Linked DNA regions of Rattus norvegicus. The protein of the gene in region 2 interacts with the protein of the main gene of each other region in a pairwise test. Links are inferred from orthologs where the notes say so. Each region holds a gene or a part of one and is shown on either strand. Other genes may lie near its edges. The genes, in order: Zgpat, Ssx2ip, Top3b, Xiap, Morn4, Ccnh and Tfip11.

Region 1 (4,205 bases), on a different chromosome or scaffold from region 2:
TTCACACATAAAGTCCCAGCTCTCCCCAGGATGAGACAAAACATTCTGGTACCAATCCCAGGGGGCTTGAATAGAGAGATGGGGTTCTGACCACTGGTCAGTTGAGTTGTGGACCTTACAGTATCCATTTCTAAGGGACCCCCCCAAGCTCATATCCCTAAGGTGCCCCCTTACTGTTTAGACCCACGGTAGTGGTGATTTTGGATAGACTCATTCCCTTGTAGTTCTTGTTAAATCGTGTTTTTGACTGTTCCAGGAAGGTCTGAGGAAAGAAAGAGAGGTGGTTAGATAGCAGCACCTAGAGCAGTTTTCTGGTGTTCTTCCCAATATAACCCTTCACACCTATATGCTTTGGGCCTTCACATCCATACACATATGCACGCACACCTCTCTGCCTGTTGACTGCTCTTCAGGAGGCTGGTGACAACTAACCTGTAGTCTTGGGGCCCCGGGTTAGATTTCCAACATAAGAAAACATCAAGCGGGGAATGGGAACTCGTGAGAGAACAAGGACCTACCGTCTTCCCAGCATTGTCCAGGCCCAGGATCAGGATGCAGTATTCATCCTTCTGGAACATGTACTTGTACAGCCCGGAAAGCAGCGTGTACATCCTGTTTGGCACCCTGAGAGATGTCAAGGTGTGTACCAGGGTCATCGGCCTCCTGCCCGCTTCATCAGTGATCAGTCTATCCTGCTAGTTTTTAAATGAGGATCCTGACTCTCCCCCCCACCCCCTTCGGTTAAAAATCTCTGACCCTGACTCCACCCTTGCCCACCTGCTAAACCTGGGCCACTCCCACTTAAGGTCATCTTTCAGAATACACCATCGACCTGGAACCCTGAAAAGCCCGTGGCGGCCTACTCTACTCCGCCTTCCAAAGGATCCTCTTTCCGAACCCTCAACTCAGCGACAGGAAGCAGGGCCAGCGGACTGTCTAGGGAGCTACCAAAGAGGCAAAGCTTCTGGCGAGGGTCGGCTTCGGATTCCCGCCGCTGCTGGGCCCACGGAGACTAGGAACCATCTGCTGAAGCCACTTCCGTCCCCCTATTTCAGGACTCTAGAACCCCAGCTCCTCAATTCAGCTGAGGCCCACCTGTACCTGCTCAAATTTTGGAGGAGGAGCCGCCGCCACCGCGTTACTAACCCCACCGACCTCACGTTGACCCCTCACGGTGCCTGACGGAACGAGGATCGACAGACCCAGCACGGGCGGAGTCGCATCCCAGCGTCCCCCGCGCGCCGGTACTTCCGGCAGCATCGGCTCTCCGGCGGAAGTGCCAGCGGAGGGCGGAAGGTTAGCGCGTGAGCTTTGCTGGGGAAGCCGGAAACCCTTCTAGACTGCGACCGCAGTCAGGAGGTGGGGTTGCGGACGGCAGAGGACGGGGGCGGGTTAAGTGCAGGTCCCCTCGGCAGAGCCTGGGTCCTCCTCAGCCTTTCTAGCGGTTTGGGGGGGGCGGCGTTGCACTTAGCCCTTCTTACTGCTCTTCCTTCAGAGCTTGTCTGCCTTAAAGGTTCCGAAACCAGCCTTCTGGGTCAGGATGGACGAGGACAACCTAGAGACTGCCCTGCAGACCTACCGGGCCCAGCTTCAGCAAGTAGAGCTGGCGCTCGGTGCTGGCCTAGACGCTTCTGAGCAGGCGGACCTGCGCCAGCTGCAGGGCGATCTAAAAGAATTGATCGAGCTCACCGAGGCCAGCCTGTTGTCGGTCAGGAAGAGCAAGCTGCTATCTACAGTGGACCAGGAGCACCAAGAAGATGCTGAGTACTTGGCTTTCCAGAAGGCTATAGCGGAGGAAGCACCCGTTGACCCCGGCAATGACTCGAAGACGGTCCCTGGGAGCGAGGTGCAGCCGACACCCACCTCCTCTGCACTGGAGGAAGAGGAAGAGGACCCAGATCTGGAGGATCTGAGCGGTGCTAAAGTGAATGCCCCCTACTACAGCGCGTGGGGCACGCTAGAGTATCACAACGCCATGGTTGTTGGCGCCGAAGAGGCGGAGGATGGTTCTGCGTGCGTTCGGGTACTCTACCTATACCCTACCCACAAGTCCCTGAAGCCCTGCCCGTTCTTCCTGGAGGGAAAGTGCCGGTTCAAGGAGAACTGCAGGTAAAACCCTCTGCTACTAGCAATGTGGGACACGTAGTCAGGACCACCGCTGTGGCCTGCCGCCACAACTTTTTCTGCACCCTGCAGAGTTGATAATGAAGAGTCCGAGCTTCAGGTGACTGACAGGCTTTTACAGAAGTGTTCTTCGTTTGTCTACTTAGATTTTCTTGCATAAATCAAAAAGTTTGAAAGGGCTATTGTTGAAAGGATAGGGCAACCCATCATCAATATTATTCTCCAAGGTAAAACGTTTTTTGCTTTGAGATGGCAATGTAACCTCGGCTGTTCTTCAATTCCTGATCCTTCAGCAATTGTGCTAGATCCCGAATGCCTTCAACTTCCAAATGCTAGGATTACAGGTGGAGGCCACCACCACTTTTACTGGGCTACATCTTCAGCTTGGAACCTTTTTTTTTTTTTTTTTTTTTTTTGACTATGATGAGGTGGAACTAGGGCCTCCAGCACACCAGGCAGTCAGCTACTCTACACCTCAGTCCTACCCTCAGCTATGGGGAGCGTTTATATATAGTCTTACAGAACATTCAAACACATAACCTCTTGCTACTTTGCCTTTCCCCCTTGTGCTACCTTTGGCAAGTCACATCTTTTTCTCTCACCCTCAAATACTTCAGAATGTAGCTAAATAATAATTACTAAAACCTACCTATGTCTTTTTTTTAAAAAAAAAAAAAGATTTACTTGTTATATATAAGTGCACAGACACACCAGAAGAGGACACCAGATCCCATTACAGATGGTTGTGAGCCACCATGTAGTGGCTGGGATTTGAACTCAGGACCTCTGGAAGAGCAGTCAGTGCTCTTAACTTAACCAGAGTTATTTCTCCAGCCCCTATGTCTTTTTTTAACTCAATAATCCAGAGTAACTCTAGTGCTTTGAATTTATTTTAGGCCACTGAAATAAAAACAGATTTGTTCTACTATAATAGTAGTTAGTAGTGATCTAAAATTAGTTTCACTTGGCCAAAGGCAGGATTTTAAGCAGGGCTAGATCCTTGGAAGTCTGAGGGTAGAATCCAGAATCCATTTCTTTGTCCTTTTTTTTTTTTTAATTATTATTATTTTATTTTGACTTATTTATTTTTTTTACCTTTTTAATGTTTTTCTCCAAGGATCCATAGGTTTCTTTTGTTTTGTTTTGGTTTGGTGCAGGGTCTCTGTGTAGTCCTGGCTGTCTTGGACTACATATAGCTATGAAGACCTGACTGGCCTTGAACTCACTACCCAAAGGCTGATATTAAAGGTTTGCACCATGGCCCGGCTATTTTTGGCCGGCTATTTTTGGCTTTTTTGAGACAAAGTTTCTATAGTAGTCCTGGTGGCTGTCCTGGAACTTACTTTATAAACCAGGCTAGCCTGGAACTAACAGAGAGCCACCCGCTTCTGCCCTCTGAGTGCTGTGATTAAAGGCAAGCACTACCATTTCTGGCTAAGATAAATTTTTAGTTATGTGTATTTGTGTGTGAGTGCATGCGTATGTGTGTGTGTAGGGGGGTGGGGGGTGTGTACCTACACAATCTTCTAGCCTGAGAAAACTAGAAGAAGGTGTTAACCACTGAGCCGTCTCTCCAACCTCCAGAGACCAACTGTATTCCTTGGTTTGTGGCCTCCTCACATCGCTTTAGGCTCTTATTCCCACGTTACATCTGTACTCTGCACATCTTATTTCTTTACTTTGTCTTTAAAATGAGGTCTCATGTAGCTCAGGCTGGCCACACACAGCCATTTCTATATACCCAAGGATGACTTTGAACTCTTGGTCTTCTTGACTTCACCTTCAAGGGCCAGAATTGTAAGCAAGTGCTACCTATCTTGGCTGTGCACATCTTTTTGTTGTATTTCATGGTAGACCGGACATGTCCTTGCCCAATCTTCCTTTGCTAGCAGATAGGTGCATAAGTGATCTGTGTGCCCAGCAGGTTTACTTTATTTGTGTATGGACAGGGTCTCTCTGTTGTGCAGCCCTGGCTGACTAGAGATGAGTTTGCCTCTGTCTCTGGAGTGCTGGGATTAAAAGAGTGCTGTTGTTGTAAAATTAAATTAAAAACTGTCTTTTACCCCCCACTAGATCCAGCA
Region 2 (4,056 bases):
CATTTTTGTAATGATGTGTCTGTCCTTGCTACCTGTGTTCAGCATCTAATCTGTCTCCCTCCTCTTCTAACGCTCATGTCTGCACTCTGATCCACTTCTCAGCATTGAGGGTATGTGTAGTTCTTCTCTCTCGTTCTTCTGTGGCAGTGAGGTATTCCTTGTTTTCCTTTTATGCTGTTTTGGTCTCAAATTGTTAACAGGAGCCACTTAACCCCAAACTTTTTTCTCCTCGAGTAAACACCTCGCTAGAAAACCCCAAACTTCTTTTTCTCCTCGAGTAAACACCTCGCTAGAACTCCACCACCCCGCCCTTTACTATGGATTCTCCATTTTCCTTTCTGGAGGAACTTTTGGTAGAGATAGTAGGGAGGTAGGTGGATCTGGCCAATTGCAGCTGTCATACATTTTCTTTGCACTCAGTGAGTGGGCCTAGGGAGTTTTTCCATCAACTTCTAGTTCACAAGTACTGTTGTTTCTTCATTTCCCTTTCCAGCTGTCTCCTCCCTAGGTTCCTTTCTTTGCTTAATTTTATTCACTACTCGAGCTTTACTAGCCCAGGCTAGCCTCGAGCTCCCAATGACCTTGAACTTCAGTTCTGCTGGTTCACAGACCTGCAACCTCACGCACGCTGTGTGCAGTCCTGCGGCCTGAACTCGGGGTTTCTTGCCCACTACCCCGGCTCTGGTTTTCCACTGATTTTTGTGCCATTGGTGTGTTGATTCCCGAGGCCACTTGACCTTCCTTCTCCAGTGCCTGACCCAATTCTGGATGCCCGTTGGTGTCTCTCCGATCTGGGGAGCGCACCCGGTTCTCCTTGGGAGCGTTGGGGTTCAGGGTCGCCTCGGAGGCCGGGCTCTAAAGCGGCTAGGACCCTCCTCTTGTCCCCGCGGAGAGCTAGGGGCGGGGAGCGGCGGCCTGGTGAACCCGGGTGTAACAGGTGCGGTGGCCGCAGCTGCGCGGGGGAGAGCGGCTGGGGTTGTCGTAGGCTAGTCCTCGCTGGACCAATGCGGGCCGCGGTTGTTCGTCGCCTGGCAACCGGCGGAGCCAATGGGCGGCGCCAGCGCAGGGCGGGGTGGGATGGGCGCCCGCGGAGGAAAGCGGCGAGAGGCGGGCCGGGCGGACCCGGCGGGCTGGAGGCTGCGCGGAACCGCTGCGTGCCGCCGCGGGTGCGGGCCCGCGGGCTACGGGAGGCGTGAGCCGCTCCCGGTGCCGTGACGGTGAGCGGCGGGATTGTGACGCGCAGCCGGGGAGGGCGCCGGGCTGGACGTGGGCGCATGCACCCGGGCCGGCACTGGGCGGGCTCGTCGCGGCCGTTGCAGCGGTTGGAGAGCGTTGCTGCCAGCCGCCTGCAGCGGGAAGTGTGAGGTAGGTGCTGGGGACCCCGCGCCCTTGCGGGATTCGGCGGGGGCATGCGCGGGGTCCCTTCGGCCCGCGTGGGCTCGGCGATCCCTCAGAGGCTGCCGTAGGACTTAGCGAGTGAGGTCCGCCGTAGGTGGGTGCTTCATCGTGGTCCAGCCCCACGTTTAGGGGAAGAACTTACATCATCGCAGGGGTAGACTTGCTGGAGAAATTATTTGGCCTCGATTTTTCCAGTGGTGCACAGTGAGTGAATGGTGAGCTCTGTCTGGTCAGCACGTAATTTCTCCTAGTGCAGGTCGCTGGGTTATGCAAGTCACCTGGGCCCAGGAAATAAAACTTGCCAAAAAATTCCCCATCAGCACCAGTAGAGGAATCTTTTCATTAACCCCCACAGTGTATCAGATCCATAACCGGCAACGCTGATGCAGTTGTGAGAACTGGGAGTTCCTTCTAGACTGTATGAAAGGTGGAGTCCAAGGATGAGAGCCTCCTGGATTTAAGGTTTGCTTCCATTCGGAATAGAGTCCAGGCCTGGAGTCAGCTGGAAATAGTGCTGCCGTGGAGCCCGCAATCCGTGGAAGGAAATCTTTCTAGTCCATAATTTGATCTCGAACGGAAAGGTCCGTATATGACGTGACACACATTTACGAGGCTGGATAAAATTCGAAATGGTCGCTCCAGCCAGCAAAACTTAATCCATCCAATCTCCTTACTCCCCAAGAGCTTGTGGGCCCAGGAAGCGTAGTTTATTCAAACTAAACAAGGCAAGCTGCCATCCCTGTCGACACTTGGTCCTGCCTGGTGTGCATGAAAGTTCCTCATACAAAAAACGATTCTCTGAGAGGAGGATTAGGAATGGATAGAATTCAAACCAGGGCGTTTTTCTGGTGACTGCTGGGGCCCCTACAGCCTGTCATTTTACACCCTTCCTTTCCTTCTTGTTCTCCAGCTGTACAGGGAAGATAATAGGCCCAGGGATTAAGTAACCAGGCTGAAGCAGCTTGGAGATAACTGCAGAAGCTGGGTCACTCCAGGATGAAACGTGAAGCTTACTCCATGACACATTGAGCCTTGTGACAAGACCTGTTAAGTCCATAGCATCCTCGACTTGCTCAGGCAGGTGTACAGGACATGGAAAAGTTAACTGTTCCTGCTGTCCCTGAGACCTCAAACCCAGCCCAGTCAAATTAATGTACTTGGCCTCTCTTAAAAGTGGACAAACCAGCTTGTTGGCCCAAACCGGTTAGGATATACTGAATGTGCCCTCACTCAGCATTCAGCTAGAGGGGGTGGCTGGAGGGAGGGGAGGTGGACAGGGAGGGAGGTAGAGAGAGAGAGAGAGAGAGAGAGAGCGCGCAAGAGAGCAAGCAAGCTTGCCTAGAACTGTGGCTGCCCCAACCTTTTACTCCAGCTACCAGGAGACTGAGGTGAGGACAGCTTGAGCCTAGGAGTTCCAGACCTAGTAGAACAACACACACATCCTACTTAAAAACAAGCTCCCTCTCATTCTGAATGCCCTCACACAGTCCCTGGGGAACCAGACCAGGGCCATGGACATGCAAGGCAAGTGTTCTGTTGCTGAAACCCAGTGTGCCTTTATTTTGAGGCAAGGTTGCCTTGTTACTAGCTTGCCCAAGCAGTCTTTGAACTCCTGCCTCAGCCTCCCAGTAGCTGGACTTATAGCCCCGTATTTCTAGGCTCAGTTTCAAGAGCGAATTTTAGTGATAGCTTCCTGTATCTTTTACACTAGCTGTGAACTTACCTTGCTGGCTTACCCAATTGTTCATAACAAGAGGCTGTGTGAGTGTTCTGTGTCTTTAATTATGGTTAGGTGCTTATGAGCATACAGCTTACTTAGACTCATGAGCTTCTAGGATGAGACAGTACACCATCCGTTATTAGTAATGGGAAAACCTAGATTTATACGGTTTGATGCTGGTCCAGTATTTTGTGTAGTGTAGGAGCGATTCACTGTATGTTAATAAATTTATTCTTTCAGTAAACATTTATTATCAGACACTCAGCTGCCAACTGCCAGGCCTAAGGATAAAAAGATGTGTTGCTCTGAATATTGTTCTGGGGGGTGGGGTGGGTTGGTGTTGTGTGGAGAAGGGGAGAATGCAAATGTGGGAGGGCCTTAGCAAAGAAGGCATCTCAGCTGTGTCCTGACAGGCGCTCACCAACTGGTGCGAGCAGCCAAGCAGGTGCCGGTTACAGGTGGTTGGTGTCCTTGTGGCTGCTGCGTTAGTGACAAGCATTAATAACAGTGCTGTGACCCTTGACCAATAAGGAATATCCACACGGTTTTGTTGGGGATTATATTGCTTCTGATGTAGAGTATGTCTGCCCAAGTTAGTAATTTGCACAGTCTATGGGCTCTGGACCTTGATGGTCTAGATAAGACCTGAAAGCTTTCCCCAGGCTTAACTGAAGCTGACAGGAGCCTTAACAGTGCAGCAGTGGCTGCTCAAGCGGGTCCTCTGTGCCAGGGCTGGAGAGCCAAAGGTGATGAAGATGCAGCCACCATGGAATCCAGTCCCAGCCCAGGGCAGGCCCTGAGGGATGGGAGGTCCAAAAATCTGGGGTGGGAGCAGTGTGGGATTCAGAGAGGAGACTCTGGGATCAATAGCAAGTCTTAATGGAAACTGAAGAGACTGACTACAGTCCTGAGGTTGTGCGGCTGCATGCTTCTCCTTC
Region 3 (4,247 bases), on a different chromosome or scaffold from region 2:
GGCTCATCTCCCTGAGGGAGAGTGACCTCAACTCCCCTCTGAGAGGCTGAGCCCCACGGAAGCAGATTTGTAGTTCATGTTCAAATGCCTGGTGAATGGGACGAGAGTTCTCTCCTTAAACCTAAGCCTCATATCAGACCCCAAAAATGTGTGGGAGCAGTCATTGGGCCTCTTTAGATGTTCGTAAACCACATGTGAGCACACTGAATAAATTCCTTTTTAGTATTACTTATCTCTTTTTTAATTACATTTTTACTTTCATTTCTTTTGTGTGCACATAGTCAGCTTGACAGCCGCTGTTCTTTGCCTGCTGAGACAGACATCTTACGGGTTCTTACTTGTCTCTTTGATTGATGATTTGAGAGTGTGTGCCCAACCCTAGCTTGTTGGGGGTGTTAGAGCCAGCCTTGGTAACAAAAGAATGGCTTAACACCATAAGTTTGAGGCCACCCTGGGTCCACAGTGAGTTCCAGGACATCCTTGGCCACATAATGAGACAATTTTAAAATAAATAAAATTTTTAAAAAAAATTTTTTTTAAGATAGGGTCCCACTATGTTGCTCTGGCTGGCTATTCTGGACCCCGCTATGCAGATAAGGCTGACCTCGAACTCACTGAAATCTGCCTTTCTCTGCCTCCCAAGAGCTGAGATCAAAGGTGTGAGCCACCACCAGGCTATTAAAAATGATATGCTAATAAAGTCATAAAAACTATTTTAAAATTCCATAATTCTAATGCTCTAAAAAATGTACATATTATCTTCCAGATACATTAACACAAATAGTATGGTCTACAAAAATTTAAATGGTATTTTGTTTTGTACAGCCTGAGTCCTAAGCTGGAATGAAATTCACTGTGTAGCCCTGAATGGCCTCTAATTCTCTGCCTCGGCCTCCTGATTGCTTGATTCCTGGTAAGAGCCACCATCCTAGCTCATAGATGTTCCTAACACTAAAAGAAGCCTGCTATCTGAAATGTATAAATCATTGTAATTATTGGGCTGAAGAGATGCCTCCGTGGTTAAAGACACTAGCTGCTCTTCCAGAGGACCTGGGTTCAATTCCCAGCATCCACAAGGCTGCTCACAACTATCCCCAGTTCCAGGAAATTCGACACCCTCACATGGATATGCATATGCAAGCAAAACACCGATGTACATCAAATAAAACTTTATTAAACTTTTTATTAAACTTTAAATTTTTATTTTAATCATTAATTGCATCTGTCTTCATCAGTTTTCATCATCATACTGACAATCGTCATTATTGTCCTCTGGATAGTTTTTGGAAGACCAACTCCAGGCTGAGGGAAGACACACAACGGAGACTTGGACCCTCCTGCACCTAACAAGATGCAGACAGCAAGGCACCCGGAACTCACCAACCTCGGAACTTGCAGACACCTTAGTGTCGACATCGGAGAGCAGATGAGGGGACGCCACAAGCGGACAGAGCCGGAAGTGCGTTCGTGAGTGGCCACCGGGAAAGCACGGCCGGAGCGAGAGGTGCAGCGGCACGGCGGGTGAGCAGTGGGTTGCTGGCTGCTCGAGGAAGCGGAAGACGCTGGCTTTCTTCGGGCATTTCCGGAATGGTAGCGGAGCTCCGACCCGGGTGGGGGCGTGGGGGAGGGTCCTTGCCTGGTGCGGCTTTTTCCCGGTCCCGCCCTCGCTTCGGGTGGGACCGAGTTTAGTGGGCGACTGTCGCTCCACCGAGCTCCCCGCGGCCCCGCGATGAGATGTTTCTCCCTAATTGAGGGTAGGGAAACTGGCTCAGGGAAGCCTTGCTGCCCACAAAAGCTCGGGCCTGCGGTCCGCGTTCTTAGTCGAAGGTTCTACTTGCTGCCGGCCGGAGCCTGCTCTGTCTGGAGACCCGGGCTGTTCTCTGTTTTGATCTCCACAGGTTTGGAGAAAACGTGGGTAAACCAATGAATTAGAATCGAGGGCCAGCTACTTAATCATAGGTGAAAGGAAAGAACGATGACTTCTCTTAAACTATTTGGCACTCGGCCTTTGGGAACAGGACTGTGAAAAGCGAGGACGACTTGGATTTGATAGCTGGAGAAGGAGGGGAATTTTCACCGTTCGCCAAGGTCCCTTTTCACTTGTCTGAATTATTAGGAACTGCAGTTTACTCTGGCTAACTGGGCTGATGAGATGGCTCAGAGCTCTTACCACCAAGGTTTCGATCCCGGGAACCCACTTGGTAAAAGGAGAGCTGAATCCCACAAGTTGTCCTCTGACTTGTGACCTGTAGCATGCGCGTGCCCATACATATCCACACACAAATAATTGTTTGTTTGTTTGTTTAATTTAAATTTAACTCCTATTTTATAGTGATATTCATAGAACTGCAGCATAGTAGATACAGAGGAGTTAAGAGATAACAGAGAAGGAGTTAAGAGGCTTGTTTTCCTGGGACTGTAGGTGCTTAAAAGTCACTGAAGTGTTAAATACTTAGATTTTCCATGCTTTGCTGACCTCTTTTGGGGATCCCCAAGTTAAATCCACTACTTCATAATACACTGACCCAAAAGGAAATCTCCATATTTACAATGTTTTCCAAAGGGCACAATGATTGGTGAGATTTGGCAAGGTATAAGCAAGTTGTCTTACTATTACTCTCTCTATGCAGTCCACACCTAAATAACTCCAGAATAGGACAAACTGTAATGTCAAAACTTTGGCAGAAAAGATCAAAGTTGGTGTATCATGTAGGTTTACGTTAAGGAGTCTATATATAAAAATCTTGGCTGGACATTTTGGTATACTCCTGAATTCCCAGCACTCAGGAGTTGAAAATGGAAAGATCAAGAATTCAAGATCATAGTGACTACATAATAGAGAGGCCAGCCTTGGCTACACAAGGCCCTGTGTAGAGACTTAGTGCCTTTTCTTTTGTGACAGTGACTGTTAAGGCCCTGGATTACCTGGTTCTGTATCCTTAAAGGAATAAAAAAGGGGCTGGGGATTTAGCTCAGTGGTAGAGCGCTTACCTAGGAAGCGCAAGGCCCTGGGTTCGGTCCCCAGCTCCAAAAAAAAAAAAAAAAAAAAGGAATAAAAAATGTTTTAACAGCTTATTGCTATGTAACTGAGTATAGCCTGCAACTCAAGCTTCTCCTGCCTCATTCAGCCTCTTGAAAGATGCTATTATAGGTGTATGCCAGCATACCTGGCATTAGAAATCATGTTTTTCCTCCTTTGAAATAGTGATAGAATATTACAAAGTCCTCTTGTGCTGAAGTGCTACAACTACTTGTATTTGTTTTGAGTCAAAGCTCCTGAAGATAAATATATATTCAAAGTGGACAACAGCTGAATAATCTGACTAGTGGGCAAGCATCTGAAGTTGAAATGTGTCGCATACCTTTGTATTACTGCCCAGTCATATTCCTTTTCCTGGATACATGACATAATCCTGCAAAGGCAGAATGTCTGTGTCTGAAGGAACTTGTCAATCTATTCAGTAATTTAGGATCTTAGGTTGTAGAAGAGTAAAAGAGATACAAACTTCCCAAACTTTGAGCATAGAAAAAGAATGCCTAGAAATAGAAGTATTTGCTGTCAACACCCTATAAAGTCCGGTGTTGCTGCTGCTGTTGCTGTTTTTATGTGATGAGGACTCACTGGTAACACTGGCTGTCCTGGAACTTACTAGACAGACCAGACTGGCCTCAAACTCACACTAAGAAATCTACTTGCCTCTGCCTCCTACCACACCTAAGGTGAACTAAGTTTTCGGTCTGGTTTGGTCTGGTCTGGTTTGAAGGATCTATAAACAGGTAAACTTACAGGTAAAACTGTTGTCATGTATTCAGACACTCATTTGAGATTGCTCACCATCCACTACTTTCCGTTAGATTGAGCGAGAAAGTCCCTGCTCTCACATAGCCAGCTTATGTTCCAGGAGCTGTAAGATAAGAACCTGTTAGGAGTCTGTATCAGGCTTAGAAGTAAGCTACAGGGCAATATAGCAAGAGACATCCTTAGAGGCAACAGGATAAAATCTTAGAGCACAGGTTCTAGAGCAAACAGGTGTCCTGCCACTTCAGCTCTAGTGTGATCCACATTCCCATTCATTCTAGAACATTATAATGACAGTGTCCCCATTCCAACCACATTGGTGGGACTGTCCAGTACCCACCACTTTCTTTGGAAGACACAGGAACTTCAAAAGCCTTAGTAGAACAATCTGTTTCCAGTTTTCCTTTCTGGCCTCTTGCTCCTCTATATGTGATAGCTCTAAGGACTG
Region 4 (2,890 bases), on a different chromosome or scaffold from region 2:
ACATGGCGTGCTACAGTGGATGTGTGTTTACTTATTGTACACCAAGTACCTAAGGAAGTGTTCACTGAGTGCTTTTACTTGAACAAAATTAAACTATTGCTTTCTGAACATGTTTTGGAAATAATGTTCCTTCTAGGACATAAAAAGGAGTGACGGCAGGCATGTTGGTACACTGTTAATCCCAGGATTCGGGAGGCAGACACAGGCAAATCTCTTAGTTCCAGGCTAGCCAGGACTTCATAGTGAGATACTGGATTTTGTTTTGTTTTTAAAAGGAGATACACAATTAAATAGGGACATGCATTTTTCCATAATGAGATGCATACAGTAAAGTAGTTCTTAGGCGACAAGCACTAGAAGTTAGCAGACAAACCTAGCAGGACTGGTGCAGTAGCTCAGTGGTTAAGGCACCTGCCCCCAAGCCCGAAGACCTGACTTGACGTCTGTAGACTCGGGAACTGTATGGTGCAAAAAGAGAACCAAGTCCTAAAAGCTGACCTCTTCATTTTTACACGTGTGCCACAATGTATGCACTCATACAACTATAAATCAATGTAATAAATTATTTTTTAGAAAGAAAGGAAACTTGTTTTTAAAAGATGCCACAAGAAGTAAGTGTGTGGCACAATGAATGGTATACAGTATCCTGAACTGCAGGATTCCTGACCCACCCCAAACACATAGACACACACAAACACACCAAAGGGGGAAGAACCTTCACGTAATTCTCATTTGAGGCCAGATTTATAAACCATTAATACACAGTGATTACAAAGATATGTAATGTATTCAGAGTAATGCCTGGTACAAAATATTTATGCTCTATTACTGTTGATTGTTGTTGCTGTTATCATATATGACTACAAATCATAGTTTTGTGGCATATTTGTTAGCATTTTACAAAATCTGTTTTGGCAAAGATTCAACTGTGCAGCTACTCCAGTATCCTCTATATGCTAATTACACCGAATGTTTTTGTTTGGGTGCCCTGCCAACATCTTAAATAGACTTGAAGCTGTAAAGCCTTTACCTCCTTTTATATTTCCAATCATCATCATTGCCTCCCTGACACATTAACAAACGCAACTTTAGTTCCTCTTTCCCTCTTTAGCCCTCACATCTAAGCACTAAATCCTACCCGTCCCACTGTATTGACCCTTTCCTGGAATTACTTAATGCCTTTCCATATGTTTGTACATTTACTTCATCCTTGCCTTTTCTGCCTGGTAATGTGTTGCCTATACTTAAATGTCCTCCTTGTCATGATGCCTTCCCCAACCACCCAGACAGAAGAACTTGTTCATCTTGCCCCAGAGCACTTTGTATGTAACTTGATTATAGCATGTTGCACTTTGTACTTACCCTCTCTGGCTGCAGCTCCCAGCCTCTCCCACTAGCATACAAGCTTCTTAAGAATTTGTGCTATGTCTGAGTCATTTTCATGTCTCCCAGGACTTGAGTGTCTGCCACGCAGGAGGGGTTCAATGTTTCAGTGAATTTAAACAACAAAACCCAAAACTAGTATATGTTGTTTTTCTCTTTATACAGACATCAGTACTGAAGAGCAGCTAAGGCGCCTACAAGAGGAGAAGCTTTGCAAAATCTGTATGGATAGAAATATTGCTATAGTTTTTGTTCCTTGTGGACATCTGGTCACTTGTAAACAGTGTGCGGAAGCAGTTGACAAATGTCCCATGTGCTGCACAGTCATTACGTTCAAGCAAAAAATTTTTATGTCTTAATCCAGCACCACAGTAGGCATGTTATGTTCTTCTTACTGCAATTGAATGTGTGATGTGAGCGAACTTTAAGTAATCAGCATCGCAGTCCATTAGCATCTGCTCCCAGATGGAAACAAATGTTAACAGCACTGTTTCAGGCTAATCTTCGAATTTCTGGATCTGAATGCCCGATCTTAGCTTATTAGCTGTTTTACCATTTATCCAGGGTTTGACACGTTAGAAACCTTAGACAAAGAAGCATTTTATAACTTTTCACATGTATATTTGTAGTACACTGACTTGTTTTCCGTGTGTAAGTGAATGAGTCACCTGCATTTTTCATTCCTTTTTTCATAAGCTTAACAAGCGGAGTGTTCTGTATAAGCAGGGAGGTTTGATTTAATCTGCCCAATCATTTTAATTTGCTTATTGTAAACAGGGAAAGAACTGTTCCACACTGGTTGGAGGATGAACATTGTTTTTAGATGTTTGTTTCTGTGTTTTAGGATTCTGTTCATTTACTTGGGATTTATTTACTTGGGAATTGTAAATGTACTTATATGAATATTTTTAAGTGATTTTGCCATCTCCTAAAAGATATCTAATGGTGGACTACCATCTAACTAGCATGTACTGACATAGAAAAGCATCACAGATATACTATGTATAAAATACAGATGGCAAAACACTATATTTATCTAGTTGGAGCCAAATCATCACATGTGTATTTTGTACCTGTACAGGACAAAAAGATTTGGAAAGATAAGTATCACACTCTTAAATGTATTTTTTCTTCAGGGGGTGGGGGATGGGTCTTAGAGGGCCTTATAGAGCCCTTCACTTTTTTCCATTTTTTTCTGTTTGAAGCTTTTATAAGTATGTATTACTTTTATAATCAGAATTCTTAGAAAATATTTTGCTGATTTAAAGGCTTAGGCATGTTCAAACGTCTGCAAAACTACTTATCGCTCAGTTTTAGCTTTTCTAATCCCGGAAGGCAGGCCAGTTAACTTTTCTGGTGCCAATGTGAAATTTAAATGTTTTTGTTTTACCTGCTTTGTGGATGAAAAATATTTCTGAGTGGTAGTTTTCTGACAGGTAGATCATGTCTTCTTATCTTGTTTCAAAATAAATATTTCTGATTTTGTAAAATGAAATATAAAATATGT
Region 5 (4,099 bases), on a different chromosome or scaffold from region 2:
TTGTTTTAAGTATCTTACATGGATTAGCTCCATTAACTGCCATTAAAACTCCTATGATGTTGGATGCTGTGTCCCGACGAGACAAGGTAATTTGCTCTGACCTAACAAGCCATCTTGCTGAAACTACAGTTTCAAGCCATCAAAGAAACTACAGTTTGCAAACTCTTGTGCTAATTTATAAGTCTTCCCATAATTTGGTCCCGCACAATCTGTGATTTAATCTCATTTTTTCCTTATTATTTCCTAGCACGAGTTCTAAGAAGATCCCTTTCTTTCCAATCCATTTCTCAGTGACTGCACTTTAATCTACAATCAATTCCACAGTTTAGCTTACATTACCAAGTGAGTAATTAGTACCACATTGAATGTATTGTCCGATCTCATTTTACAGGCTAGAGAGCTTACTAAGTTACTCAAAACACACACAATTCGTAAGTAGCAAAAGATAGGATTTGAGCACAGAAATCAAATCTTTAAAAAACAAAGCAAAACTACCGTCCCTTTGGCGTTGTGTTCTCACACAAGTCCTGTAAAGCCCTCTATCACTTTCATCATTATTACTTTCTAACCTGCGGCTGAAGGAATCCTAATCCAAAAAGCAATTTGAACCAGTTTGCTTTGTCTTTCAACGCCTCACTCGTGTCATGAGTCCCATGAGAGACGCATCAACGACCAGGGCTTTTCCAAGCCCTGAAGAACTTGCTTCTCCCGCATGCACTTCACTAAACAAACATATGGCTACACGGACATCCGGGAACAGTATTTGGGAAGATTTGCTCCAATAGTGGCACTAGGTTTTAAATACAAAAGATGTGGAACACAGAGAGTCCCTATGAATGGAAATGTGCAGCGCATCATTAATTATAAAGCTGAGCTTCTAAATCTGGGTTTAGGTTTTCTCTTCATACTTAGCGGTGGAGTTGTTTATGAATCTAAAAATCACAACCTTTTGAAATGTAGCCACTTTGAACACACGTTCGACCTTATCTAGGATTAAAGTCTCTGCCTGGAGGTGTCTGAAGACGTGAAACCTGAGTCCTTCTTTTCGGTTGGGGTTAATGAGATTGGACAGCAGGCTCAGCCCCACCCCTTTTTCAGATCTTTGGCCCAGACTCCCAAAACACTGGGCCCCTCACAAAGATGGCACGAAAGAGGGCTGGACCAATGGGGAGTGGCGTTGCTCGCGGTTGCCTAGGTAACAGCCAATGAACAGCGGGAATTGTGCCCAGTGCGGCCGTAAGGGATGGCGGCGTCCAGTGGGGCTGAGGCGGGTGGCGGGGCAGAGGGGAAAGTGGCAGTGGGGAGCCCGGAGCAGCAAAGATCCTAGCTGCTGGAGCCCCGCGTCAAGTCGGGGCGTAACAGTCGTCTTCGAGAAGCCGAGCTCAGGTTGGCCTGCGGCGCGGGTGGGAAGAGGACTTGGGAGTGCGGTCCACCAGGTAAGGACTGAGGCGGCAAGCAGGTGACTGGGCTGGGGAAGGAGCCTCTGTCCTGGCTGTACTGACAAGAAGGTGGCTACCAGTGGGATCCCAAAATTGGGTTTGGAGTTTCGATCCAGAGGTCGTAGCCCTGGAGAACACAGGACACTGGTTATCAAGAGGGGTGTGCCGGGCTGTGTCTGCAGGGAATGCCAGATCTGTGGGAGCTTGAAGAGCCTGTGGAGTGGGAGCCGACACCCCCCCCCCCAAAAAAAAGGACAGAACCGGGCTGAAATGAAAAATGCAGTGGAAGACTGGGTTGCGTGTCGAAGTCTGGGGTTTTGTTTAATCTAGGGCGCGTCTGTGCCACAGGTAGGGAGATGTCCCACTTACTGAGGCTTGGGGAATGGGTTGTCATTTCTGTAATTCAGCATCCACGAACTACTTAGGACCCAACCAGAGTAACTTCACTATATTAGAGCCCGGCCCAGACACTGTCCCTTCCCTTAGCATAGATAGAATAGTGTTGTGACAATATTACTCCGGAGAGCCTATCACTCTTTTTTTTTTTTTTTTTTTCTTTTTTTCGGAGCTGGGGACCGAACCCAGGGCCTTGCGCTCGCTAGGCAAGTGCTCTACCGCTGAGCTAAATCCCCAACCCCGAGCCTATCACTCTTGTGTCATTGTCTTTTTAAAAACCTTCTTCTTGGTACCAGTGTTCTCTTTTCATCTTCTTCAATCTAACCATCCCACATTCTCCCTAAAAATAAAACCTGCTTATCATAACAGTGCCAATGCTTACTTTCCAGATAGGAAGGAGATTATAATTTTAAAGTTAAAACCCTAATTATTTCATATTCATTTAAAAACACGTTTTATTAAACAGTATTTCCAGTTTCCTAATCTTTGCTCATCAGAGCTTTCATTTTCCCCTCTTAGGACTCTAAAAACTTATGGTTGCTTCCTTTGTAACTAAAAGAATTTTTTGTTAGCTTGCCTACCCAAGGAAGTGGCTTTGGGAACAGTTCGGAGATGGTGTGGATAGTTAGGGTGTCTGCTTCCAAACAAAAGGTCTCTAACTGGGATATGATTATTCTCAGGTTGGGGAGGGAAGAATTGTTGTTATTTTGTTTTAAAACTTCTTAATTTAAGCTGGACATACATGGTGGAGCCTCAGGAGACAGAGGCAGGTGGATCTTCTTGAGTTCAAGGCCAGCCTGGTCTACATAGTGAGTTCCAGGACAACCAAGGACTACATAATCCTCCTTCAAATAACAAACAAAAACGTCTTGATTTAGACAAAAGTTGCTGCAAATGCATAAATGTTCTTTAGTTAGCTTGGTTTTATGAGAGAGAGAGAGACAGGGAGAAGGAGAAAAGGTGGGGGAGGCATGGCAATAGTGTTTACTGCTCCTGCAGAGGGCCAGGATTCAGTTCTTAGCACCCACCTGTAACTCCAGTTCCAGGGAATCTAAAGGCCTCTCAGGCCTCCACAGGCTCTTGTACACACATAGCATACAAACATTCATGCAAGTTCACACAGAGACACATAAACTCAAAGCACTTCTAAAAAATGAAAACAATTTCTTATCACTGTCTTCGAGTTCTGTTTGGAGCCATCCACTGAAGAAAAAAAGTAAGAGAGCAAAAGATATAGTCTCTTTCCAACAGTCCCAGAACAGTGGATTACAGGGACAAAAAAAAAATGGTAATTTTAGGTTACGTTTCCATCTGATCATTTGCAGCTTGTCTGTCACAAGCACAGAAAGGGCCTCTGTGGGAATGTGGATCGTGTTGGTTTGTGACTGGATTCCAGGTATAGATCTGAAGCCTAGGGCATCAATTTTCTCCAACAGGATTATTTAAGCAAGTATTATAGACGTCGATCTGTGTTCCTTATTAAAGTATTGGGTTTCCCATTTGCATTAGTACTGGATACACTTTATTAATCTATATTTGCCTCAGTAACTATGGATAATCTTGGTTACTGGTGAAATTCCCAGGATGTGACAGTATCACCTGTTTGGACACATGTTGCAGTTCCTAGACAAATGTATTCAGCCATAGCCCGAGACCCCTGAGTTCTACATATGTTCCTTTTAATTAGCACTTCTGATTTGAGTCTTGAAACTGTTCATGGTTTTAAGAAACCACTGCTGAATTTACTGTATCTTTCTAGATTGAAAAGGAATGGAAATTTGTAATATATACTCTTGAAAACCAGCACGGAATGGTGTCGGGGTAGGTTGGCAGGTGGTACTCTGCTTATTACCACTAAACAATGAATTAACCCAGCCCTTAGCAGCTTAAAACCACCCCACGATACTCCCAGATCCTAAGTCAGGACTCTAGACCTGACATCATGGAGATGGCTTCTGTTTATTCCATAGATTCTCCGGTGAGTGGGTCAGTGTCTGACTGGGAACTGGAACCATTTGACTGACAGCTCCTTCACTAACGACTGCTCCTGTCAGAGCTAAGATGACTGACAAGTGAGGATGCAGGGCGGTGGTGGCATACGGTGCTAGTGCACGCCTTTGATCCTAGCACTCGGGAGGCAGAGGCAGGCAGATATCTGTGAGTTTGAGGCCAGCTTGATCTATAGAGCGAGTTCCAGGACAGCCAAGACTACACGGAGAAACCCTGTCTCAAACCTTCTCCCCAATGCCCCCCAAAATTGGAAT
Region 6 (3,500 bases), about 220 Mb from region 2:
ACCCTCGGATAATAATGTGAGTATAAATTTGTTTTTGTTTTGTTTTGCTTTGTTTTTATTGAAGATGTTTATAATGTGTGGACCTTTATCTGTGAGCTGTATATGACAGATAACTGACAATTTTAATTAGGAACAATTTAGACCTGAATTTTTTTTCTATTTGGATATAAGGCCTTCTTAGTTACTGTTATGTTCTGTATAGCTAATGGCCTCTGAACTGCAGCTTGTCCACCACTCACCTAGTTCTCTTTCCACTAATAATCCTATTAGTTCCGCTATCAGTGGCACCTTTATTCTGCCAATTGCTTAGGCTAAGAATCATTTGAGGTAATTGCTTTCTCTCCATTTCCATTCAGTTTGTGCATCTTGTAACTTCATATTCATTTTGGCTAAGCAGAAGTATATGTTGTTTCCTCTCTTTGCTAAGCATCATGCTTATCATCATGTATGAGAACACAGTTAATATAGGACTCACCAAACTGTTTGCTGCCATTTATCCTTCTGTTTGTCTGTCTGTTTATTTATTTGTCACCATTCCCTTCTCAGCAGTCAAGCTCAGGGCTTTATTCTGGCTTCAGATACTAAAGGGTGACAGCAGTAGCTTTCTTACACTAGTTCTCGATGAACTTAACTTAGTACTCAGGAGAATTCCATGTTTGCTTGCAAGCAGTAATCACATCCTCACAATGACTTGAGGCTGCTGCTGCTGACTGTCTAGAGTATTAGTTACTATTACCTGTCTTGTATGGTTATAAGGTATATGCATGTGTTCTATTCCGTTAAATTAAATCTTCCATTTATATTTCTTGATACACACTACTTATTATGTTTTCCAAGTTTGTGGTTGGATTATAGATGCTATGTGTTAATGGTTAATGCTGTAGCAGTAGTAAATGATGGCTCAACCTAACTATATAGTTTCTCCTAAGCCTAACAAAGTTTAAAGAGGAACATTTTTTAACTTCTGTTTTATTTTTTAATTTAATTCATTTAATTTCCTGCAGTATCTAGCATAGTCACATATGAATATTATGCAGTTTACAAAGCACTTTAAGTAATAATTAGGTATTTCTGCCATCCTTTATTTTTTTATGTAGGCTTACTTGTGCATTTTTGGCCTGCAAAGTAGATGAATTCAATGTGTCTAGTCCTCAGTTTGTTGGGAACCTTCGAGAGAGTCCTCTTGGACAGGAGAAGGCACTGGAACAGATTTTGGAATATGAACTACTACTTATACAACAACTTAATTTTCACCTCATTGTCCACAATCCATATAGACCATTTGAAGGCTTCCTCATTGATATAAAGGTAAATGTACTGGCATGAAACAGCTGATAGAGGTACTCCTTTATTACTGTTTGCTAAAAAGAATCGAAAGCTTTCTAACCAGTAGTATCCTAACTGCTATAACACAGGTGCACCCCAAGAATCTTCGCTGGCTTTTCTAGGGTAATAGTTTTCAAACTTCAGTGTGCATTAGAGTCTACCCGGAAAGTTTGTTTCTTAAGATTATTGGGTAAGAATTCCCAGGTTTCTTGTTTAGTAACCTATAGTAGATTATCAGATTATAGTAATGTTCTTATAACTGGTATATATTGTCATAGATCTAGGCCTAGTGACTTATAGTGCCTCAAAAAATTCTTAATATTAAACCAAAAGATAAATTAATCTTATTGTAAATGTTTTATGAACTCAGTTCACAAATATAATCGCCAAAATTATAAGTAAATTGGTGACACCTGTATGGTCAGGGGCTCAGGAAGTTTAGGTGGGAGGATCACTCTGTACCTAGGAGTTTGAGACTAGCCTGGCACTGTAGTGTCAGTAGATCACAAAGCTTGTAATACAAATATGTGCATGTGTATATTTTACGTGTAGAATTCAGTCTATGTATTTGTATGTACCACATATTAATGCATATGTTAATATTGATGTAGTCAATTTAAGTTGTTGAGTAGACTAAGTCAAAGAAAAGTCAAGAGCTGGTTATTCTCAGGTAAGCAGCTATTTATGCTAAGCATTATGTTTTTGGGGTGCAACCTAGAAACAAGACAGGAACATGACAACTTTCATGGACCTTAGATAACTATTAATGTGGTAAATTTTATATAGGGAAATCAAAATATTCTATTAGAAGATGGCAGATTGAAAAGCAAGGAAAACACTGTTGAAGTGAAATTCAAATCAAGAGTAGAATTAGGTGAGGAAAGAACACCCCACCCAAAGACTTTCCTAGTCAAGCACTCAGGAAGAGTCAGGGGATGGAGGGGAAGAGTGTTTTGGCTTGAATTAAAGGCAGGTATCTAGACTAGGTAAATAGTGTTGAAGATGTTTACAAAGGAAAAAGACCATGAAAGCCTTGTCTATAGAACTGGCATGATTGGGTTCACAATGTGAAAAAATGGCCTGTTGGCACCTCACAGGTTAGTTGGTGTCTATACTAGTCAGGTTTCTCTAGAGTATTAGTGTGTGTGTGTGTGTGTGTGCGTGTGTGTCTGTCTGTCTGTGTGTGTCTCTGTGTCTGTGTGTGTGTGTGTGAGAGAGAGAGAGAGAGAGAGAGAGAGAGAGAGAGAGAGAGAGAGAAAGAGAGAGAAGAATTTATTAGGATGTGGTCAAGTTAATCAAATAGTGACTGCCTATGAACACAAGATCCTATCCACTGTCCAGTAGTTAAGTCTATGAGGCTGGATATCTCAACTGGTCTTCAGTATACACTAGAATGCCAAAGAAGGAAGTGCTAATACCAGAGAAGGAATGGACTTGCTAGCAAGGCAAGAGCAAGCAAGCAAAAAGAAGGGCCGCCTTCTGCCATGTCCTTTATATAGGCTTCCAACAGAAGGTGTGACCCAAATTAAAGATGAGTCTTAACACCTCAAAAGATCTGGATTAAAGGTGTGTTTTAAACAAAATCCCTGACAGGGTCATCCAGCCATTTGGGGTTCTAGATAATTTCAGATGTAGTCAAGTTGACAATCAAAATAGGCATTATACCATCAGATGAGATTAGACATCTGAATGTGTCTTGCATTATGAAGAGAGTGGATCACAATGGACAAAGGGGTAACAGCAGGGTAACAGCGAGGGCTTTGGTCATAAATGTTTAAACGGTAGTTGAAAAATGAAGAAGCTTATAATGGGAGTAAAATGTATCCAGAGTTGTAGGATTGTTGGAAAAAAATAAAGGGAAGTAGATAGAGTACTCTAGTAAGTAAGGAGAACATCTTTCCAATTCTGCTTGGATTAGGAAAAGATAATGGAGGCTGCTAATGTTTGCTAAATTCGGTGCCAGAAAGGTCATTCATGATTTTATTGACATTTGTCTTTGAAGTGTGGAAGGAAAATAAAACAGATTGGTGGCTTTAGGGGAATAAATTAAAAGACAACAGGCTGTAGAGATGATGCACCAGTTTAGAGTACTGCTACTCTTCTAAATGAGCAGGGTTTAATTCCCAGCACCCGCACTGTAGCTCATAATTGCCTGCAATTCCAGTTCCCAGGAA
Region 7 (3,500 bases), on a different chromosome or scaffold from region 2:
CTGATCAATGGTGCTAAGGGGTGGTGACCTGTCTCTCTCATAGGTGATCGACATGACAGGCCGGGAGCAGAAGGTGTACTACAGCTACAGCCAGATCAGCCACAAGCACAGTGTGCCCGATGAAGGGGTGCCGTTGCTCGCGCAGCTGCCTCCCACAGCTGGCAAGGAAGCCAAGGTGCCGGGCTTCGCGCTGCCTGAGCTGGAGCATAACCTGCAGCTGCTCATTGAGCGTACGGAGCAGGAGATCATCCAGAGCGACCGGCAGCTGCAGTACGAGCGGGACATGGTGGTCAGCCTGTCGCACGAGCTCGAGAAGACAGCCGAGGTGCTTGCTCACGAGGAGCGGGTCATCTCCAACCTCAGCAAGGTGCTGGCCCTGGTGGAGGAATGTGAGCACCGCATGCAGCCCCATGGCGCTGACCCGCTCACGCTGGATGAGTGTGCCCGCATCTTTGAGACACTGCAGGACAAGTACTACGAGGAATACCGCCTGGCGGACCGCGCAGACCTCGCTGTGGCCATCGTCTACCCGCTTGTGAAGGACTACTTCAAGGATTGGCACCCCCTTGAGGTGAGCTAGGGTGCAGCCTGCTCTTGGGCTGGGGCATGGCTGCCGAGCTGGGAAGGCTGATGATGCTGGTGTTCTGCAGGACAGCAACTACGGCACCCAGATCATCTCCAAGTGGAAGAGCCTCCTGGAGAACGACCAGTTGCTGTCTCACAGCAGCCAGGACCTGTCCTCAGATGCCTTCCACAGGTACCAGGCCGCACCCCACTGTGTTCCCTTCCAGGCCCCACCCCACTGTGTTCCCTTCCAGGCCCCACCCCACTGTGTTCCCTTGCTTCTCCAAGGAGCAGGAATTGTGCTAAAGGCTGGGTGACAGCCATTCTGGCCCTGTTGACTCTGCTCCACCCCAGCACTGCTCTGGGCTGGGGGTGTTGGAGATGTGCTCACCCATGTGTCTATTGAGAGTCCTGAGTGTCCAGGAGCTGGGCTCACCCTGACCATGCGCACCTTTGGCCCAGTCTGGAAAAGGCAGTGCAGGGCACTAGTAAGAACTAAGAATGCGCCAGGCGTGGAGAGGACAGGTGTCTCAGGAGGGGACATTCAAGCTGTGACCCCAGGTGTGAGAGGTGCTGTGAACTGAGGCTCTTATGGGAAAGCAGCTGATGACCCTGTGCTGACACTGTCAGCCACATGAGCCTGTAGCAACCCTGCCAGTGTTGGCATCACTGAGGAGCCCAAGGCTGAGAGCTAAGACATCACAGGGACCCCTGTGGGGACTGGCCTGAGGTTTCCTGTGGTGGTCTGTGGGCTGGTACACTTTGAGCACCATGAAGCCAGCAGTGTGGCTGACCAGCTGCCTTGCCTCTCGCAGGCTCATGTGGGAGGTCTGGATGCCTTTTGTTCGGAATGTTGTCGCCCAGTGGCAACCCAGGAACTGTGAGCCCATGGTGGACTTCCTGGACAGCTGGGCACACATCATCCCTGTGTGGATCCTGGACAATATCCTGGACCAGCTCATCTTCCCTAAGCTGCAGAAGGAGGTAGGGCGGGGCTCTGACTGGGTCTCTTAACTGTGCACTGAAGTCCTGAGGTTGAAGGGTGTCAGCATGGCTGGTGGCCTGCAGTGTTAATCGTAGTCTTCTCCATAGTACCCCTCCCCTACCTCCCTCTAGTGGGAGTTGCCTTTCTCAGTGTCTTTATTGAACCTTGAGCTATGCTGAGGCTTGAGTTGGTGGCCTGAATGTTTGGTTTTCTTCTATGGAGGGACCTAGAGTACAGAATGCCTACTATTTACCTCCATGGTGGGTCTTGCCCTCCCTACACACAGGCCTCTCCCTAAGGACAGCACTGCAGTGTCATTAACTGCCCATGGGCTGCATTGCTCATTCCACTCATCCTGTAGGTGGACAACTGGAACCCCCTGACAGACACCGTCCCGATCCACTCATGGATCCACCCGTGGCTGCCACTCATGCAGGCCCGCCTGGAGCCGCTCTACTCCCCTGTCCGCAGCAAGCTGTCTAGTGCACTGCAGAAATGGCACCCCAGCGATGCCTCAGCCAAGCTCATCCTGCAGCCCTGGAAAGAGGTCCTCACCCCTGGGTCCTGGGAGGCCTTCATGCTCAGGAACATCGTGCCCAAGCTGGGTAAGGACACAGGGACCTGGAGGCCGAGTGCAGCTTACTCAGTGTCTACCAGAAGGTATACTACTTAGAGCAGAGATAGATGGGAGTGGAACCAGGGCCTTCCTGCTGTTCCTTTACAGCTTGGCCAAGGTCTGCAGTGATGGCTCTGGGCTCTCTGTGCCTTGTGGTTTCCTGACTGATTTGGATGTCAGAACCAGAAAGCCAATGGTCTGTTTTTATTTATTTTTTTTTTTTTTTAAGATTTATTTATGTGAGTACACTGTAGGGGCCGTCTTCAGACGTACCAGAAGAGGGCATCAGTTTCCAATTCAGATGGCTGTGAGCCACCATATGGTTGCTGGGAATTGAACTCAGGACCTCTGGAAGAGCAGTCAGTGCTCTTAACTGCTGAGCTATCTCTCCAGCCCCGGCCCTGGCCTTTTAAGTGCTTGTGAATCTTCGGAATTCACTGTGGGTAGAATGACAGAGCAGACAGGAGACTAGAGAGTCTGCTTTGCCATCTCTCTTGCAGGCATGTGCCTGGGTGAGCTCGTCATCAACCCCCACCAGCAGCACATGGACGCCTTTTACTGGGTGATGGACTGGGAGGGCATGATCTCCGTCTCCAGCTTGGTGGGATTGCTGGAGAAGCACTTCTTCCCCAAGTGGCTTCAGGTGAGCACTGTGGCACAGGAGGGACATGGGGTGGAGTTGCGAAGCGCCTCGTCTCAGCTCCTCAGAGAACCTGTCAGGGATGTGGAGATCAAGTGTGTAGCACAGAGGCCACAGTCTGGCTCCAGATTCTACTGGAACTGCTAGACACCGCAGCTCCCCGTGCTCTGTAGTGTGGGCTGCTGGAAGGAGCAACACTGAATGCAGCAATTGCTCCTGGGGACACTCGCTCTCAGTGCTGTGGTCCATGTGTGGTCACCACTCAGTATCCTGTGTTCTTTGGCAGGTGCTGTGCTCCTGGCTCAGTAATAGCCCCAATTACGAGGAGATCACCAAGTGGTACCTGGGCTGGAAGTCCATGTTCTCAGACCAGGTGCTGGCACACCCTTCTGTCAAGGACAAGTTCAACGAAGCGCTCGACATCATGAACAGGGCTGTGTCCTCTAATGTTGGTGAGCAGGTGTCTCAGTTAGGGTTTCATTGCTGTGACAGACACCAGGGCCAAGGCAACTCTTATAAGGACAAGGTTCAGAGGTTCAGGCCTTTATCAAGGTGGGAGCATGGCAGTGTCCATGCAGGCTGGTGAGGGAGGAGCTGACTCTCAGGCAGTTAGGAGGAAGCTCTCAAAGCCCCCTCGTCCAGTGACACACTTCCTCCAACAACGCCACACTTCGTAATAGTGCCAGCCATATTCA

Evidence for each region.
Region 1: the proteins of Ssx2ip (region 2) and Zgpat interact in binary tests that used the Homo sapiens proteins (3 or more experiments, as listed by UniProt). The two-hybrid records come from large-scale screens. The link is inferred for Rattus norvegicus from reciprocal best matches to the Homo sapiens genes SSX2IP and ZGPAT.
Region 3: the proteins of Ssx2ip (region 2) and Top3b interact in binary tests that used the Homo sapiens proteins (3 or more experiments, as listed by UniProt). The two-hybrid records come from large-scale screens. The link is inferred for Rattus norvegicus from reciprocal best matches to the Homo sapiens genes SSX2IP and TOP3B.
Region 4: the proteins of Ssx2ip (region 2) and Xiap interact in binary tests that used the Homo sapiens proteins (3 or more experiments, as listed by UniProt). The two-hybrid records come from large-scale screens. The link is inferred for Rattus norvegicus from reciprocal best matches to the Homo sapiens genes SSX2IP and XIAP.
Region 5: the proteins of Ssx2ip (region 2) and Morn4 interact in binary tests that used the Homo sapiens proteins (3 or more experiments, as listed by UniProt). The two-hybrid records come from large-scale screens. The link is inferred for Rattus norvegicus from reciprocal best matches to the Homo sapiens genes SSX2IP and MORN4.
Region 6: the proteins of Ssx2ip (region 2) and Ccnh interact in binary tests that used the Homo sapiens proteins (3 or more experiments, as listed by UniProt). The link is inferred for Rattus norvegicus from reciprocal best matches to the Homo sapiens genes SSX2IP and CCNH.
Region 7: the proteins of Ssx2ip (region 2) and Tfip11 interact in binary tests that used the Homo sapiens proteins (3 or more experiments, as listed by UniProt). The two-hybrid records come from large-scale screens. The link is inferred for Rattus norvegicus from reciprocal best matches to the Homo sapiens genes SSX2IP and TFIP11.

The regions. Positions count from the first base shown.
Region 1 is NC_086021.1:188,850,214-188,854,418, forward strand, and holds the start of Zgpat (zinc finger CCCH-type with G patch domain-containing protein), read left to right. Parts: upstream 1-1,405; 5' UTR 1,406-1,540; coding exon 1,541-2,109; intron 2,110-4,205. Other genes in the region: Arfrp1 (ADP-ribosylation factor-related protein 1), read right to left, coding at 175-262, 519-695, 1,102-1,260. UniProt on the Homo sapiens protein: Transcription repressor that specifically binds the 5'-GGAG[GA]A[GA]A-3' consensus sequence. Represses transcription by recruiting the chromatin multiprotein complex NuRD to target promoters.
Region 2 is NC_086020.1:237,957,208-237,961,263, forward strand, and holds the start of Ssx2ip (afadin- and alpha-actinin-binding protein), read left to right. Parts: upstream 1-1,256; 5' UTR 1,257-1,365; exon of another isoform or gene 1,366-1,979; intron 1,980-2,308; 5' UTR 2,309-2,475; intron 2,476-4,056. UniProt on the Homo sapiens protein: Belongs to an adhesion system, which plays a role in the organization of homotypic, interneuronal and heterotypic cell-cell adherens junctions (AJs).
Region 3 is NC_086029.1:97,626,798-97,631,044, reverse strand, and holds the start of Top3b (DNA topoisomerase 3-beta-1), read left to right. Parts: upstream 1-1,447; 5' UTR 1,448-1,521; exon of another isoform or gene 1,522-2,088; intron 2,089-4,247. UniProt on the Homo sapiens protein: Releases the supercoiling and torsional tension of DNA introduced during the DNA replication and transcription by transiently cleaving and rejoining one strand of the DNA duplex.
Region 4 is NC_086039.1:125,797,395-125,800,284, forward strand, and holds the end of Xiap (E3 ubiquitin-protein ligase XIAP), read left to right. Parts: intron 1-1,548; coding exon 1,549-1,742; 3' UTR 1,743-2,390; downstream 2,391-2,890.
Region 5 is NC_086019.1:250,845,144-250,849,242, reverse strand, and holds the start of Morn4 (MORN repeat-containing protein 4), read left to right. Parts: upstream 1-1,299; 5' UTR 1,300-1,436; intron 1,437-4,099. UniProt on the Homo sapiens protein: Plays a role in promoting axonal degeneration following neuronal injury by toxic insult or trauma.
Region 6 is NC_086020.1:17,576,994-17,580,493, forward strand, and holds part of Ccnh (cyclin-H), read left to right. Parts: coding exon 1-16; intron 17-1,097; coding exon 1,098-1,308; intron 1,309-3,500. UniProt on the Homo sapiens protein: Regulates CDK7, the catalytic subunit of the CDK-activating kinase (CAK) enzymatic complex. CAK activates the cyclin-associated kinases CDK1, CDK2, CDK4 and CDK6 by threonine phosphorylation.
Region 7 is NC_086030.1:49,962,258-49,965,757, reverse strand, and holds part of Tfip11 (tuftelin-interacting protein 11), read left to right. Parts: intron 1-43; coding exon 44-571; intron 572-650; coding exon 651-757; intron 758-1,379; coding exon 1,380-1,548; intron 1,549-1,910; coding exon 1,911-2,154; intron 2,155-2,665; coding exon 2,666-2,808; intron 2,809-3,091; coding exon 3,092-3,257; intron 3,258-3,500. UniProt on the Homo sapiens protein: Involved in pre-mRNA splicing, specifically in spliceosome disassembly during late-stage splicing events. Intron turnover seems to proceed through reactions in two lariat-intron associated complexes termed Intron Large (IL) and Intron Small (IS).